2 linked regions of the Notamacropus eugenii genome follow. The main gene of each other region encodes a partner of the protein of the gene in region 2 in a complex. Links are inferred from orthologs where the notes say so. Each region holds a gene or a part of one and is shown on either strand. Other genes may lie near its edges.

Region 1 (8,424 bases), on a different chromosome or scaffold from region 2:
TGAAAGATGATGTCTAGGCTTTTTTTTTGATCATGGCTTTCAGGTAGTCCCATAATTTTTAAATTGTCTCTCCTGGATCTATTTTCCAGGTCAGTTGTTTTTCCAATGAGATATTTCACATTATCTTCCATTTTTTCATTCTTTTGGTTTTGTTTTGTGATTTCTTGGTTTCTCATAAAGTCATTAGCCTCCATCTGTTCCACTCTAATTTTGAAATAACTATTTTCTTCAGTGAGCTTTTGAATCTCCTTTTCCATTTGGCTAATTCTGCTTTTGAAAGCATTCTTCTCCTCATTGGCTTCTTGAACCTCCTTTGCCAATTGAGTGAGCCTATTTTTCAGGGTGTTATTTTCTTCTGCATTTTTTTGGGTCTCCTTTAGCAGAGTGCTGATTTGTTGTTCATACTTTGCTTGCAAGTCTTTTATTACTCTTCCCAGTTTTTCCTCCACCTCTCTATCATGATTTTGAAAATTGTTTGGGCTCTTTAAGACCTTTTCCCAGAACTGATCCCATTGAGTGGACTGGGATGTAGAAGCACTGACTTCCGTGTCTTCCCCTGATGGTGAGCACCGCTCTTCCTCATCAGAAGGGAGGGGAGGAGAAACCTGCTCACCAAGAAAGTAACCCTCTATAGTCTTGGTTTTTTTCCCTTTTCTGGGCATTTTCCCAGCCAGTGACTTGAGCTCTGAATATTCTCCTCACACCCACCTCGCCTCCGGATCCTCCCAGCCCGCGCTTGGGGTCTGAGAATCAAATGCTGCTTCCCAGCCTTAGGGCTTTTGGCAGGGGCAGGGCTGCTATTCAGTGTGAGATTAAGTTCAGGTGCTCAGGTGGGGGCAGGGCCGCCTCATGGGCTCAGTTCCCTCAGGGGATTTATGCGGAGACCTTCAACAATGGATCCAGGCTCCTGCCTGCTTGGGGAGCCCGGGTCTGCTCCCGCCTCCGCTGTTGCCTTCCGAGGGGGCCTGAGTATGGGGGCACCCCACTCCCCTCTCAACCCACCAAAGAGACCTTCTCACCGACCCCCGTCACCTGTGGGTGGAGGGACCCGCGTGGCCGCTGGAGATCCCGTCCCTGAAGTCCGCTTGGATCTGTTCCTCTCGTTGCTGGGGCCCGTGCAGGGCTGGGCTGGGCTCCGCGTCCGCAGCGCGACGGACCTTTTGCAAGAGGTTTGCAGGTCCCTCTGGAACAGAAATCTTATCCGCTCCACTATTATGTGGCTTCTCCTGCTCCCGAATTTATTGGCGGCTCTTTACTACGGATATTTCATGGGCTGTGGGTTCGGAGCTAGCGTATTTGTGTGTTTCTACTCCGCCATCTTGGCTCCACCCCCACAAGAGTTTTTTAATAGGTAACAAACCTAGGTCATTTTCTGAGGAGAAAGAGTAAGTATCTCTTAAGGTGTGGTTCATTGTGTAAAATGCTGCAGACAGGTCAATAATAATGACTGGGGAAAGTTCATCAGTTTTGGTTGCTATTTGTCCTTTGTTCTGGAAGACAGGAAGTGATGCCATGACATGCAAGTTGTGTGGGATGGCTCAGGTCCCTACATAAATCAATTACTCAGAGGCCTCTCAAAGTGATGACAGAAAAGTGATTTATTCGTTTCTCAAGAAGAGGGGCTTACCTGTAGGAGTAGGAAAGCCGAAGACAAAGAAAAGGGCAGTGATTTATATAGACCCTAACGCAAGTCCCTCCTCCCCACCACTGACCGTTATCCTCATTAGCTGAGAATATGGTCTTACATTCTAGACACGAAATCTAACCAATCCCTTTTGAAATGAAGACATTGAGGAATTATGTAAGTTTTGTCCAATCATTGAGACCCTAATACACTACACAGTTTTATATCCTTATATGGAACTATTCTATTCTAAAAATATTGTAACCTTGAGCCTTTAGGCCTTACCTCACCCCTGGGAGAAAAATTACAATCTGAGGAGTCTTCAGTAAGTCTATCCCACTCAAAGTGAATTGGATTTAAGTGAGGCAGGGCTGTGCAAAGTCACCAGCCTCACTTTCTTCCCAGAGCCATCTCAGTCCAGTGGCAAGATGCTGTATTTGTCCTTCACTTTTGAAGACAACCATGTTGTGTTTGTCCTTCATTTCCGAATACCATGCCATCAGAGAAACGATGACATGATCTGCACTTGACTTTGTTTTGAGTGAGGGAAGGATGGGCAAGGTCATCAGCCTCACTTCCTCCTCCTGAGCCATCTGGGTCCAATAGCCAGATATTCATCAGGATGACTGGAGGTGGGCCAGGATGCAATGGGAGACCCTGGCCTTTTTTAGGCTAAGGCTTTTTTCAGCTACTTTTTTCAGAGTGAGGTAATGCCCATTCAATGAATAGACCTCTTTAAGAAGTCAATCAAAGGATGGTCCCCTTAATTAGAAAAAAAGATAAATTCAAGCTGAGAGGGGAAGACCCTCAGGGTTGCTGTTCCAAAGAGAGTTACCATTGATATTAAGCCAGGAAGGTCTTAAATGCAACCTTGAAGTGAAGCCTGGGCAGAGACCTATTGTGCTCCCCATTCATGAGCCTCAGAGTGAGCTGGGTTGAAGGTTTTGTGAAAGAGAGACAAGAAAGAAGGAAATCTAGCCAGTAAACTCCAAGTTAACTGGGCAAGACATACATCAGGATGACTGGAGATGGCCTTTGATGCAGTGGAAGGCTGGCCTTTTCAAGCTAAGGTCTTTCCCAGGTCTCAATTTGACTAAGGTGAGGCAGAGAATGTCCTCTTTCACCTAGTTAAAAAAAAAATCAATCTGGGAGGGGAAGACCCTCTAGCCAAAACAGAAACAACTGCTATTCACATTCATTCTGAGCCATTCGGGGCTTGGCCTGGGGCCTTCTGTTGGCCAATCAAGGAGAGCCAGAGTGGACTTGCATGCCTTGACATCCTTAGAAACTCTGAAAAGAACAGTTTAGGTTGAGAGAGTAGTCAGCGGTTACTGGAGAACCCCAGGGAGACTGGAAGGATAGTGGTACTCCAACAGAAGTGGGGGTGTTCAGGGGAGGTGTGGGTCTTTGGGGGGGGGATAGACAACAATGAGATCAAATTTCATATCTGCACCAGTCCATATTAACTACTTTTTCCAACAAAAACAAAAAAGGCAAAGAGGCATGTACAGGAATGAGATCTTACCCTTGATGGCCCCAGCTGGCAGAGCTCACCTGTTGAAAGGTTTTGGGTGTGAGGATGGGTGGGGGATGGGCGGCCAGGAATTGTGCCTTCCAACTGCAGAGCATCCATGACCTGCCCAAGTTTAGGTTATAATAGCGCTCCCCGCCTCCCTCCGCTCCACCGGCCCCGCCTCCCGCTGGGATCGGCCAAGGGCGGAGCCTGGCCACGCCCCTTCCGCCGCTGGGGGCGGGGTCAACACCGCCTTCCGCTCTGGAGGAACTGCCGTGCAGAGCGGGCGCGGTAGGTGCAGAGAGCTGGGGGCCGTGGTCGCGGGGTCCCTGCAAAGCAGCTTCTCTTGTCTCCAGGTCAATCTCGAAACGACAGAGCGCGGTGACTTCCGGTGTGTGAAGCCCCGCCCTCGTCCCCCATAGTGAGATTTAAGGAAGTCGAGGCAGGATGCCTGAAACTCGGGGGATTGTTTTGGTGGCGTTACCTTGGTCCGTACGGAGGCCGTGTGTGCTGGGGAGAAGGGCCTGCTGCGGAACCCTGGCTCTGGAAGCCTGGGCCACGTTCAGTCAGTCAACCAGCATTTATTATGCGCCTACTCTGCGACGCCTTGGGCATGGCGTATGGGGGAGGGGAATATACCTATACATGACGTAATACAGAGGGGGGAACGACCCTCTGGGAGCTCACTTACATTGGGGGGTGGGGCGGTGGCGGAGGACATGTTTACGTAAATGTATACAAAACAATTAGTGTTCACCTGGGCGAGGGGAGTCAAGGAAGCAAGTGCAAGAGGGAGATACGAGGAGTGCCCGAAGGCAGGCCGGTGCAGAGCGAAGGCAGGTTAGGCGTTTATTGAGCTCGTACTGTGTGCCAGACTCAGGGATAAGCGCAGAAGGTACAGTGTAACAGAGAACGTGCAAGTTGCAACTTTGTGCAAACGATGTTCTCTGGATGAAGTGGAGATGATCCCAGAAGGGAGCGCCCAGGAAAGGCTTCTTGAAAGTGGGGTTTTAGTGTAAGGAAGTCAGGAGACAGAGATGAAGAGGAAAAAAATTACAAGCGTTGGGAACTCATCAGGAAAATGCACTGATTGAGGAGATGGAAGGTCATGTGGCCAATATCATTGGATTACAGAGTATGTGAGGGGAGAAAGGCATAGGAAGATAAAGGTAGGAAAGGGCCAGGTTGTGAAGGGATTTAAAAGCCAACCAGAGGGTTTTATATTTGATCCTGGACATGCTTTCTTGTGTTTGTCCTTTGTTTTCGAAGAGGACTATGATAATCAGAAATGATGACATGAGTTGCATTTGATATGGTGCCACTTGACTCCTCATTGACATGGTCACACCTTCCCTTTAGGAAGATGACTGGCAGCTGAGTGCAAGATGGACTAGAGTGAGGAGAGATTTGAGATAGGGATACCAACAGGCTTTCTAAATAGCCCATAGTATGAAGGGATGAGGGCCTACACCAGAGCAGAGGAGAGAAAGGGATATGTAGGAGAGATGCTCTAACACTAGAATTGATTGGACTTAACAACTGGTTGAATATGATGGGTGATAGGAGTCAAAGATAACACCTAGGTTTCAATTCTGGATAACTGATAGGATGGTGCTGCCCCCAAACAAGAATAGGGAAATTAGGAGTTCTGTTTGGGATATGCTTTGAGATGTCTCCAGCACGTCTAGTTTGAAACATCCAGTAGGCAGTTGGAGATACAAGTCAAGAATTCAGGAATGAGAGTAGGACCAGATATATGGGTCTATAGATAAGGTTTATCTGCATGTAGATGATAATTAATCCTATAAGAACAGTTGAGGTCACCAAGTGAGATTGTAGAGAGAGAAAAGGGCTCAAGGACAAAGTTTTGAGGTATACCAGCTGGGGGAATGGGATGGATGATGACCCAGAAAAGGAGATTTTGAAAAGAGGTGGTCATATAAAGAGGGAAACTGAGGGCAGGTTCATGAAAACCCAGAGAGGAGAGTGTATCCAGGAGGAAAGAGTGGCCAACACAGTTTCAGTCCCTGCAGAGAAGTAAAGAAGGGTGAGAATTGGAAAAAAAAAAAAACTATTGGATTTGACAGTTAGGAGATCACTTGACAACTTTGGAGAGAGCCTTTGCAATTGAATGACAAGGTTAGAGGCCACATTGCCAAAAGCAGAGAATGTGGAGGCCATGAGTGTTTAAAAATCAGCCTACAATGATTAATAATTGTATGACGTTGGATAAGTCACTTACCTCCATAGACTTCATCTGTAAAATAAGAGGGGGGGGAGTGTGGGCGGGGGTTGAATGACATAATTCCTAAAGTCTCTTCCAGCTCTATCATTGATCCTCTTTGTTACCTGCAGTGGCATATTGGTGGGAGCACTGAGTTGGGGCATCAGGACCCTTTTGGCCCTGGACTTCAGCTCTTTCATATGAAGTATTTGTAAACGACTTAGCACAGCTAGCACACTTAATAAACACTTGTTTCCTTCTCTCTTCCACTCTTTTTCTCCTTCCCTCTCTCCTTTCCTTCCTCACTCCCTCCCTTCTGCCCTCCCGTTTTTCTTCCCTCTTTCCTCCCTTCTTCCCTCCTTTCCTTCCTCCCTTCTATCTTCTCTCTCTTTCTCCCTCCCTTCTCTTCCTTCCTGCCTTCCTTCCTCTCTCCCTTTTTCTTTCCTCTCTCCTTCCCTTCCTTCTCTCCCTTCATTCCTTCCATCCATCCTATCTCCCTCTCTCCCTCTTTTCCTCTCTCCTTCCCTTTCTTCCTCCTTTTCTTCCTTCCACCTCCCTCCCTCCCTTTTTTATGTCCTTTCTCCTTCTCTTCTTCCTTCCCTCCCTTCCAACATCTCTCCCTGCCTCTCTCCTTTTTATCCTGCCTTTTTCCTTCACTCCTTCCTCCCTCCCTTCCTTCTTTTCTCCCTTTCTTCCTCTCCCTTCCTCCTTTCCTTCATTTTAGGGGCATGTGTCACATAGATGACTTAAATGGATGATGTTTGCTTGTCCATCTCTGAGCATTTCTGTGAACGTGCCCTTCACTGATCCAAATTGCAATCCATCCTTACCTTATCCTGTGCAATTCTTTACCTTGGTCTCTCCTACATTCTCTAGAGGGATGGAGTACAATAATATTGGAGACCTTCTAGGTCTCTGACATTAAATGGTACCAGTGTAGCACTGAAACCATACAGTTATTATCTTCCAATCGCGTACATGACTGGCCCACCACCTTCTCCTGTTATCAGTCCTGATTATAGTTTTTCAACTATTAAAGTTTTATTGATGGTTTTTGCTTTCATATCACATTGATTTCCACACATGGCCCTCGTTTTCCATACCCATCATACCTTGTGACAAGAATCTAAAAGGAAGAAATACTCAGCAAAACCATCCAATTCTACAACCATTTCTGATGGCAGTATTCTTCATCCATAATCCCTCATCTTTCAACAAAAGGAGGAAGGTGCATTTTCTCATCTTTTGTCTGGGGCCAGTATTGGTCGTTATAATTATACAACATTGTTTCATTTTATTGTTCTTTTTGCTTATATTGTTGTAGTGGTTATTTATATTAATTTCCTGTTTCTTCATCTTTGATGATTTTTACACATTTTTGTGCACCACTCATTCCTTATCATATGACATAATCTTTATACACCTCCCTCTCCATTTGCCCTTTGGGTTACATGAAGTTTTAATTTTAGTAATAATAGTAATTGATATCACTCATTGATTGATGACTGACAGTGCTTTCAGAATTGCAAATTGCTTACATACCTAATCCCATTTAAGACAACAATCTGGTGAGGTGGGATTGTGTTGGTTCATGATTTTGTCACTTGCTGGAGAAATAATGGTTTTTAAGTGAGGTTTTTCTTTTAGGGAGCAAGCTTGTGGTCATAAAACACTGAGGTTTCCAAATAGAGTTTAACTTACTTTCTTAGTCAGTTCTGGGTCCGTCTAATCTGCCATGCCTGTCTGGGGTATGTATACAGAGGGACCACAGCTGTCCATTCCACTGTGTAAGAGCCTAGGGCAGCGGCTCTCACCTTTGCCCTTTTCCTTCATGATGTTTTCTGTATTTCTTTACAGATGGTCTGCCCGTCTGACTCTGCTGCTTATTCATAAACATCTGGTAAGGTGACCAGGACACCTTGGTCATGAACCCAAAGCCTCGAGCTGTTCCAGAGGGAGGACGGCTGGAATACCTGCAGGCACTGGTCACAGAGTTCCAGGAGACAGCAAGCCAAGGTGAGAGAGGGGGGACAGTCAAACCCAGGTCCTTCGTCCTCAGCTGGCATGCTTTGCTTCCTACTCCCCCCCAAAAAAAAAACAGCTCACATGCCATTTATTATTTTAATGTTTTTGTTACAAATTAGACTTCATTGTTGTCCTTCATTCTTTAAGGGGACCAAAATAATGTCACTATGTTGGAGTCAAGATAGAATGTGTCCCACTGTGGTTGATCAAACTAATATGACCTCAGAAGGCTCTACCACAGGCAGGGCACAAATAGTCCACGTGAACATTTAGAGTGAAGATGTTTCCAAATTTGTGCATCTCATGTTTCTTTTGAGCTACTGTAGCGCAGCACATAGAATACAGGGCCTGGAGTCAGGAAGACCTGAGTTCAAATGTGGCCTCAGGCACTCATTTTGTGACCCTGAGCAAATCATTTAACCCTTTTTGCCTCAGTTTCCTCATCTTTTAAATGAGCTGGAGAAAGAAATGGCAAATCCACTCTAATATTTTTTGCCAAGAAAAGACCAAATGGAGTCATAAAGAGTCAGACACCACTGAACAACAACAAATACAAATTAGACACATACTGGCTGGAAGACCTAGCAACTCCCTAAGACTATAAAGTGTAGCACAAGTACCAAACTGTCTTGGTGGAGTAAGTTTGTCACTAGAAATTTCCTGCATTGAAATCACAGATCTGGTCCCTGTGCCTTATTCCAGAAATAAGGAGGTATATGATGTATATGAAACATCAGCAGTTCTATGTTTATTACGCAATTTCCATTCTGTCAGAAAGAAAAACAAATCTCCACTAGTGGGGCTGTCACCTTTTTAATATTTTGTTAGGGTTTTTTTTTTCTCAACCAAAACCATGTCTTTAAATTAAAAAACAGAAACAGAAAACAATAGTAACATACTTTCTGACAAATGAGTTTCTTTCATTTTATATATATATATATATTTTTTTTTTTTCATTTTATATATCCCCACTATAACACACCTAACAAGTACTCACCCAGCCTCCACTTGAAGACCTCCAAGGAGGGAGAACCTAGT
Region 2 (8,424 bases):
TTGTTCAATAGCACCAAATAATGCAAACTGCTCGATCAGTTCCTTCATAACTCCCACTGCAGGAACTCCTTGAATGATTAAGTATCGAGATTCCAAATTGACTGTATAAACCTAAAGGAAATATAGATGTATTCATATTTTTCATACTTTTCTTGAATAGCTCTGCCCTTATATTTATTACAGAATCTCTGAGTTAGAAAAGAATTCAGAGCTCATCTGGCCCAACCCATACCAAAGCAGGAATAATCTCTATAGTACCTCTGATGTGTAATTGTCCAATCTCTTTTAAAGGTCTATAGTTATGGGGGAACTTGATTACTTTTCTGAGGCTAATCATTTCACTTCAGGACAGGGCTATAAAGAAAATTCTCCTCATAGGGAACTAAGATCTTCCTGTCTCTTACTTCTGCTCATTGCTCCTAGTTCTACTCTTTGGGGTCAGCAAAATTCCTCCCCGAAATGGCAGCAGGCCTTGAAGTAGCAGAACACAGCTACCATATTGCTCCTGCTCCTCCCCTTCCCCATCTTTTCTTCAGCCAATCCTTAACATGACATAATGTCCAGTTTCTTCACTATCGCACTCACATTCCTTTGGGCAAAGTCCAATTTATTTTCCTCATGTGGTACCTAAAATTTTCACAATAAAGTTTAACCAGGATAAAGTCCAGCCTTGAAAGTAATTTACCAACTACTATGCTTTGACCAACCACAGAATAACAAATCCCTTCTATGTAGTGTTTTAAAATATATTTAACTCACTGACTTTGTGATGTATGTAAAAACAGACAAGTATTAACATATATAACCATGATGCTTTACTACTCATCTGGCATAAATCTAAGCAGGATTTAAAGGCAAGTGAGATAAGCTAAAACTGCTATTATTGCCAGTCTTTTGAGGGCATAAAGAGACTTCAGAATCTATCCAGTCATGTGCTTCACTTTACAGAAGAGGAAACTGAGACCCAAGGAAGGTCTAGGGTCACATCACTGGGTTAATGACTCTGATGTTCCTATGTGATGTTCTTCAGCTACATCAGAAGGTCTATTAACAAAAGCAGGCTCCATTCTATTAGTTTAACATAAAGGTTCTTAGCCCATGGCTTCCTGGGATAGGTTTTAGAGGTTTGTAAATTTGGGTGGGGAAAAAAAAATTTGCATCTTTATTTTTTTTACTAACTTGCAATTGAAAGTTAGCATTTCCTTCAATTGTGAATACAGGCAACAAAAACATTCTGAAAAGGGCTTTAAAGGCCCTACCAGACTGCTAAAGGGATCCATTACACAAAAATGTTTAAGAACCTCTAGTTTAACAAGAATAAACCTGCAAACACTTGTCTTTAGACTAAAGACTTACAATGGGGATTGTGAATTATCTATGAATTTCCATTATTCATGTTAGAGTAGGCTCAATATATTTTCCTACATTTGAAAGCTGAATGAATCCACAGGTCAATTTGAGCCCTAGAGAAGAAAACACTATGTAAATCCAAAACCATGAATATTTACAAGCTGTAGGTTTTTCTTTAAAGTAAAATTTTGTTGATATATTTTGCTTGTATAACACCTACAATTTCCCATGTATCCCTTCTTTTTCTTCCTTGGGAGCAATCCCAAATAATACAGAATAAAAAGAGTTTGGCAAAATTAACCACCATTTGAAAAAGTAGGGCACTATACGTACTGTTCCACACTGACCTCTACAAAGAATGGTATGTTCTCTCTTCTTTGGGGTTAAGTTTGGTCATTATAATTTTGCAATATTTAGTTTAAGGGATGTACTTTCCATTAATTAGTGTTGCAGTCCATTGATATGCCTTCCTGGTCCTGCTTGCTTCACTCTACCTCCGTTCACATCTTCCCATTCCTCTCTGTAGTCATTCACGTTTTGCAGCATAGTAACAGTCCATTTGTGCAGCACAATTTGTCTGCCTATTCCCCAATCGATGACAGCTCTACTTTGTTTCTAGTAATCTGAGATTTTCAACATACTAATGGACTATGGATCTTTTGGCATAGTAGAAGGGGAAGTTTCTCCCCAGAGCCCTGCTTATCTTTATACACCTGTTCTTCACACATCTCCTTGAGCAGACTGACCTGGACTGTTTAGAAAGCAGGGAGAGGATCTGAGCATCTGAAAAGTGTTGCTGTGAAGAAAAAGACTAATAATGCTCTCTTCTCATCTGTGCTTCCTAACTTCAAGTCGCAGCTAAAATTTCACCTCCTACAGGAAGCCTTTCTCCATCCTTAATTCTAGTCCTCCCTCTGAGATATCTCCAATTTATCCTGTAGGTTTGTTTGTACACATTTGTTTGTATGTTGTCACTGCCATTAGATTGTGAAGTCCCTGAAAACATCCCCTAACTTAGCAAAGTACCTGGCACACAGCAGTAGGCTTTGTGTAAATGTTTAGTGACTGTGGCTGGACAACTGTGTGAAAGTATTTAAAGAGCTGTCATGTAAAAGGATTATATTTGTTCTGTTTGGCCTAAGGGAGAAAAAGCAGAATCAATGGGTGGGAGCTGCAAAAGTAGGTTTGATGCTTCCTAACAAGTAGAGCGGCTTGCCCAGGTGGATGGGGGTCTTCAGGACAAAAGTTAAATGACCCCAGGTGGGTGGGTGTGTTATAGTGGGGATGCCTTCCTGGAGAGGGTGGATTGGATGGTGTGTGTGTGTGTGTGTGTGTGGTGTGTGTGTGTGGTATGTGTGTGTGTACGGTGTGTGTGTGGTGTGTGTGTATTTGGTGTGTGTGGTGTGTGTATGGTGTGTGTGTGGTGTGTGTGTGTGATGTGTGTGTATGGTGTGTGTGTATGGTGTGTGTGTGTGTGGTGTGTGTGTATGGTGTGTGTGTGTATGGTGTGTGCGTGTGTGTATGGTGTGTGCGTGTGTGTATGGTGTGTGTGTGTGTATGGTGTGTGTGTGTGTATGGTGTGTGTGTGTGTATGGTGTGTGTGTGTGTGTGTGTATGGTGTGTGTGTGTATGGTGTGTGTGTGTATGGTGTGTGTGTGTGTGTATGGTGTGTGTGTGTACGGGGTGTGTGTGTGTGTGTATGGTGTGTGTGTGTATGGTGTGTGTGTGTATGGTGTGTGTGTGTGTATGGTGTGTGTGGTGTGTGTGTATTTGGTGTGTGTGGTGTGTGTGTATTTGGTGTGTGTGGTGTGTGTATGGTGTGTGTGTGTGGTGTGTGTGTGTGATGTGTGTGTATGGTGTGTGTGTATGGTGTGTGTGTGTGTGGTGTGTGTGTATGGTGTGTGTATGGTGTGTGTGTGTATGGTGTGTGTGTGTGTGTGTGTGTGTATGGTGTGTGTGTGTGTATGGTGTGTGTGTACGGTGTGTGTGTGTGTGTGTATGGTGTGTGTGTGTATGGTGTGTGTGTGTGTGTGTGTGTGTGGTGTGTGTGTGTACGGGGTGTGTGTGTGTGTATATGGTGTGTGTGTGTGTACGGGGTGTGTGTGTGTGTGTGTATGGTGTGTGTGTGTATGGTGTGTGTGTGTGTATGGTGTGTGTGTGTATGGTGTGTGTGTGTGTATGGTGTGTGTGTGGTGTGTGTGTATTTGGTGTGTGTGGTGTGTGTATGGTGTGTGTGTGTGGTGTGTGTGTGTGATGTGTGTGTATGGTGTGTGTGTATGGTGTGTGTGTGTGTGGTGTGTGTGTATGGTGTGTGTATGGTGTGTGTGTGTATGGTGTGTGTGTGTATGGTGTGTGTGTGTGTGTGTATGGTGTGTGTGTGTATGGTGTGTGTGTGTGTGTGGTGTGTGTGTACGGTGTGTGTGTGTGTGTGTGTACGGTGTGTGTGTGTGGTGTGCGTGTGTGTACGGTGTGTGTGTGTGTGTGTGTGTGTGTACGGTGTGTGTGTGTGTGTGTGTGTGGTGTGTGTGTGTACGGTGTGTGTGTGTGTGTACGGTGTGTGTGTGTGTACGGTGTGTGTGTGTGTACGGTGTGTGTGTGTACGGTGTGTGTGTGTGTACGGTGTGTGTGTGTGTGTGTGTGTGGTGTGTGTGTGTACGGTGTGTGTGTGTGTGTACGGTGTGTGTGTGTGTACGGTGTGTGTGTGTGTACGGTGTGTGTGTGTGTACGGTGTGTGTGTGTGTACGGTGTGTGTGTGTGGTGTGTGTGTGGTGTGTGTGTGTGTGTACGGTGTGTGTGTGAGGGAGCGGACAAGGACGCAGGGAGGGAAGGAGCGGGATGGGGGCAGAGCCGGTTCTGAATCCAGACTCAGACACTTGTAGCCGCGGGACTCGGTCTCCTCATCCACAAAACGGGAATGACAGCGCTGTCGCCTGCCCTCCCCTCTCCAGGCTGCGCTGATGACAGAACCGTCCAGTCAACTGACCCTACCAACTTAGGGAGGTTCGGCGGGGCTTGATCTCTCTGAGCTCGAATCCCGGCCGGCGACTGCGGCCCGACCGGACTCGTCCCTCTTCCACGGCCCGGGCACCGTAGCCGAACACAGCAGCTCCGCGGTCCGCCCATCTAGCCACTACCTAAGCCTCACCGGGCGCTCCTGGCCAGAGGAAGCCGGGGTGCCCGGGGGTTTCTCTCTCACCTTAACGGCGCGGGGCCTCCGCCCCTCCCGATACTTGGCCCGCGAGTCACAAACAGCCCGCTGCGCATGGTGAGGGTAATAGCCACCCAGCTCCCCTCCGCCGTCCGCCATCCTTTCCCACTAGGCCTTCCTTCCAAGTTAACCGCTTCCGCCTGACCCCTATCCCTCTCATCCAATCAGAGAGTCAGGCAGGCAGCGACGTCCTAGGATTGGCTCGAGTACGGATGGCGCTCGTTGACGCTTCCGGAGGGGATGGAGAAAGCGAGAAGGCGCCGTCTTGTGGCGGCGCGGTAACGAGGCTCGGTAGTCCCGCCCCTCGCGACGCTAGGGCGAGTAGGCTGCCGGGGGTGGTGGTTGTCGATCGATCCTCTCGGCGCTCGACGCCTCCTGCCTGGCGCGGATCGGTGCTCTGCCCCGTCAGTCTCTGGCTCTCTGGCTCACTCGCTCGCTCGCGATGTGGGGCGGTGGCCGTCTCGAGGGCGCCGGGGCTGGAGGGGTCGTGGCCGTCACCATCGCCTTCTCTCACGCCCGGGACTGCTTCCTCCACTTGCCGCGGGCGCTCGTGGCCCAGCTGCACCTCCAGCAGGTAACGCGCTCAGGAGGCCTCCAAGTTGCGCCCCCTCCCCCCCGCCGCGAGGCCTGCCGGGAAGGGCCCCCGAGGCCGGGCTGCTCGGCCTGAGCCACTGGAGCCTCCTGGAGCCGCGAAATTAGGTCTAGAAATGACCTGGGTTCAAATGCTGCCTGTGGCGGTGATCGCGGCCGTGGGCCTGCCCTTTCGGACCGCTCTTCGTGGTCTCCTGCCCACCGCCCGGGTGACGGGCCCGGCCCGCAGCCGCGGTGCTCTCAGCCGCGGGATGAGGCGCAAGGTCACTGCCAGACCCCTCGAGGGCCCTCCCCGGGCGGTGCAGCCGCCCCTTTCCTCGGAGTCCTCGCCCTTGGGGACTCAGGGTTACCCGGGGTGCCGTGCCCATGTCCCCGGGTCCAGAGGCAGCCAAGGCACGGGGTCGCGCTATTGCGGCGAACCTGCTGGAGTGTAACTTGAGGCTTTGTCTCGGCTGGCCCCCTTTCCCTCCTTCGGTCTAGACCCGCCGAGTCACTCCCCGGTGGTGTTATTATTATCTCTGTTTACATGCGAGGAAACCGAAGCCGACAGATGAAATCACTCGTCCGGGGTCGGGGCTCAGCCCAGGCTGCGGCACCACCTGGTTAGTGCTGACCCAGGCAGGGCTTCCCGAACCTTGGAAACATAGGTTTGGGTAACTGTTTCAGTGTAAATGGCTTCCTTTGTGATCTTGTGTGAATTATGTATTTAAAAGTCCTCTGTTTAATATGTTATCTTTATCATTTCTGACTCCATTGGGGGTTTTCTTGGCAACTGTACTGAAGTGGTTTGCTATTTCCTTCTTTTCAGCTCATTTAGCAAATGAGGAAACGGAGGCAAATAGTGTTAAGTGACTTCCCCGGGGTCAGCTAGTTAAGTATCTGAGGCCACATTTGAATCCCTGAAGATGAGTCTTTCCACCTAGCTGCCCTTACATATTTTTTAAATCCTATATTTAATATCAATTTATATTCATATATTCGTAATGAATTTGCATTCATATTGTAATACATAAATTCACATTTGTGTATTATAATGTATAAATTTATAATCTATTTAGTACTGATTGTGCTCCCAAATAATTTCATGAAGTAGGAAGCCTTCACTTTAATCATCCTCTTTAAGTTAATTACTGCTATTCCTGACTTTATGTTAATCATTTGACAAAACATGTATCAATGTTGATTGAATAAAAACCCTACCAGGCACATCTCAAAGCTTCCATTTGAAAAATGATAATACTGATGTAAGTTTTGATGTAAGGAAAACCTCTCAAAATTAGTTACCCCATTGGCTTGTGTAGGGAAATAGTGGATTCTCTTTCATGATAATTCTTCGATAAACCACTTATTGAGGATATTGTAGAGAGGATTTCTGTCTAGGTCTGGGTTGGACTAAGTGTATTCTGTAGCTTCTTCTAACTTTCAAATTCTGTGATTTTTGTCATTTAGACACCTGAAAACTGTGCTGTGAAGAAGCAAATTCGCTGTGCTCCTTAGGACAGGTGGGAGGATTGACTTAGGAATCTGTTAAGGTTCCTTCTGGCTAGGAATTAGGGTGGAAGTGGTGAATTAGATTAAGATAAAAAGGAAAAAACCCACAAATCTAGAGCTATCCTATGTGAGGCCTTAGCATTCAGCAAATTCATTCAGTTGAGTCTGCACATTTGAATGCTGCTTATTTATAATGAACCACTGTGAAAGATATAAAAATGAAGATAACAGTTTTTGCCCTCAAATGGCCTGTAGCAGGGATTCTGAAACTTTTTAGTCTCGGAACCTCTTTATAGTCTTAAAAAATACTGAGGACCCTTCCCTAAGAGCTTTTATTCATGTGGGTTATATCTATGTTTGGCATATCAGAAACTAAAACATCAGTATTATTATGAAAATAGTTTTAACCTCATAGGTTAATAAACTTAGTTTTTTTTAATTGGTTTTGGAGACTCTTATGTCCTAGACCCACACTTTGAGAACCACTGGTCTGTTGTATGAGCCAGGACTAATAGATTGTAAGCTTTTTGGAAGTAGTCTTTGAGTCATATTCAGGATATTCCAAAAATCTTAGTTCAGTTTTAAGCTTCAGTAACTTAAAGTTTTTAATCTTTCATAGCTTAAATCTGCATTAAGATTCTAAATCTTCACACAAGAAGGAAAAATATCAGGAAAGTTCTGCAGCTAGTGTGTTTGATTTATTCTGTACTTATTTTTTACATATGATTTTTTTTCAAAAATATACATTGAATAGCATTGAGAAAGAACTTTTACAATTTGTTGAATGCCATACTTTAGAACAGAAAATAAATCTGGAAAAGGAAAAAAAAAAAAAAGATTCTAAATCTTCATTAAGACTTTTGGGTCAGTGCTCTCTGTGTCTTCGTTTCCTTACCACATTGCCTTCAAATTCTGTTTTCATAGATTTCCAATCAGAATAGTTAGGAACCGTTACTAGAGGCAGTTTGAGGGCAAGGACTTCAATATTCATCTTGGTGTCTTTCACAGTGCCAAAAAGTGTTGAATTTCATGAGTCTACTGATGTAGAAGAAAAAACCCCCTACTCCCCAAAGAAAAACAACATTCTGTGATTATAGGAAGTATACTGGAGAAGATTGCCACTGTCACCAAATTTCAAGTACAGAGCTCCCCTTGCATTTTACCAAAGGGAGTGTGCAACATAATCATGCTGTTAGGATCACAACTCAGCAGGAATAGGACCAGCAGCCTCCCTTTGGGTTCTCACAGATGCTAGTAGTCTGTTGTAGTAGTAGTAGAGGTTGCTGGTGCTGGTGACATTTTTCCTGTCTGTAAGCTTCTAGTAGTGGCGTCCGTCCGTGATGCAGGTAAAGGCAGCATGGAACAATGTGAAGAGCACTTGTTTATTTAGCTGGAGCACCTGGGTTCAGTCTTGCCTCGGCCTCTTAATGCCTGTGTGACTTTAATAGCTTAGACTTAGGTGATGCAATGGATAGAGTGCTAGGCTCAGTCAGGAAGGCCTCAGTTCAGCTGTGGTCTTAGACACATTATATTTAGGGATCTCCAGAAGTCACAGTCCACATAGTCAGTAAGCATATGTTAAAAACTATGTGCCAGGCACTGCGCTGATGCTGGATATACAAAAACCCATGCCTTCAGGGAGCTCACATTCTAAGGGAGACAATATGGAGCTGGAAGTGAAGAGGAGATGGCATTTTGGGGATGGGGTACAATGTTGAAAGCATATAATTAGAAGATGAAATAGTCAGGCTAGTGTCACTGGATCATAGATTCTGTAGAGGCCA

Evidence for each region.
Region 1: RBM48 (region 2) and ARMC7 share a complex: the UniProt entries of both Homo sapiens proteins name them as parts of the minor spliceosome. The link is inferred for Notamacropus eugenii from reciprocal best matches to the Homo sapiens genes RBM48 and ARMC7.

What each region holds. Positions count from the first base shown.
Region 1 is NC_092873.1:341,060,039-341,068,462, forward strand, and holds the start of ARMC7 (armadillo repeat-containing protein 7), read left to right. Parts: upstream 1-3,340; 5' UTR 3,341-3,428; exon of another isoform or gene 3,429-3,528; intron 3,529-3,530; exon of another isoform or gene 3,531-3,702; intron 3,703-3,886; exon of another isoform or gene 3,887-3,977; intron 3,978-7,218; 5' UTR 7,219-7,286; coding exon 7,287-7,377; intron 7,378-8,424. UniProt on the Homo sapiens protein: As a component of the minor spliceosome, involved in the splicing of U12-type introns in pre-mRNAs.
Region 2 is NC_092874.1:47,882,151-47,890,574, forward strand, and holds the start of RBM48 (RNA-binding protein 48), read right to left. Parts: upstream 4,514-8,424; 5' UTR 4,474-4,513; coding exon 4,339-4,473; intron 112-4,338; coding exon 1-111. Other genes in the region: peroxisomal ATPase PEX1, read left to right, coding at 5,001-5,132. UniProt on the Homo sapiens protein: As a component of the minor spliceosome, involved in the splicing of U12-type introns in pre-mRNAs.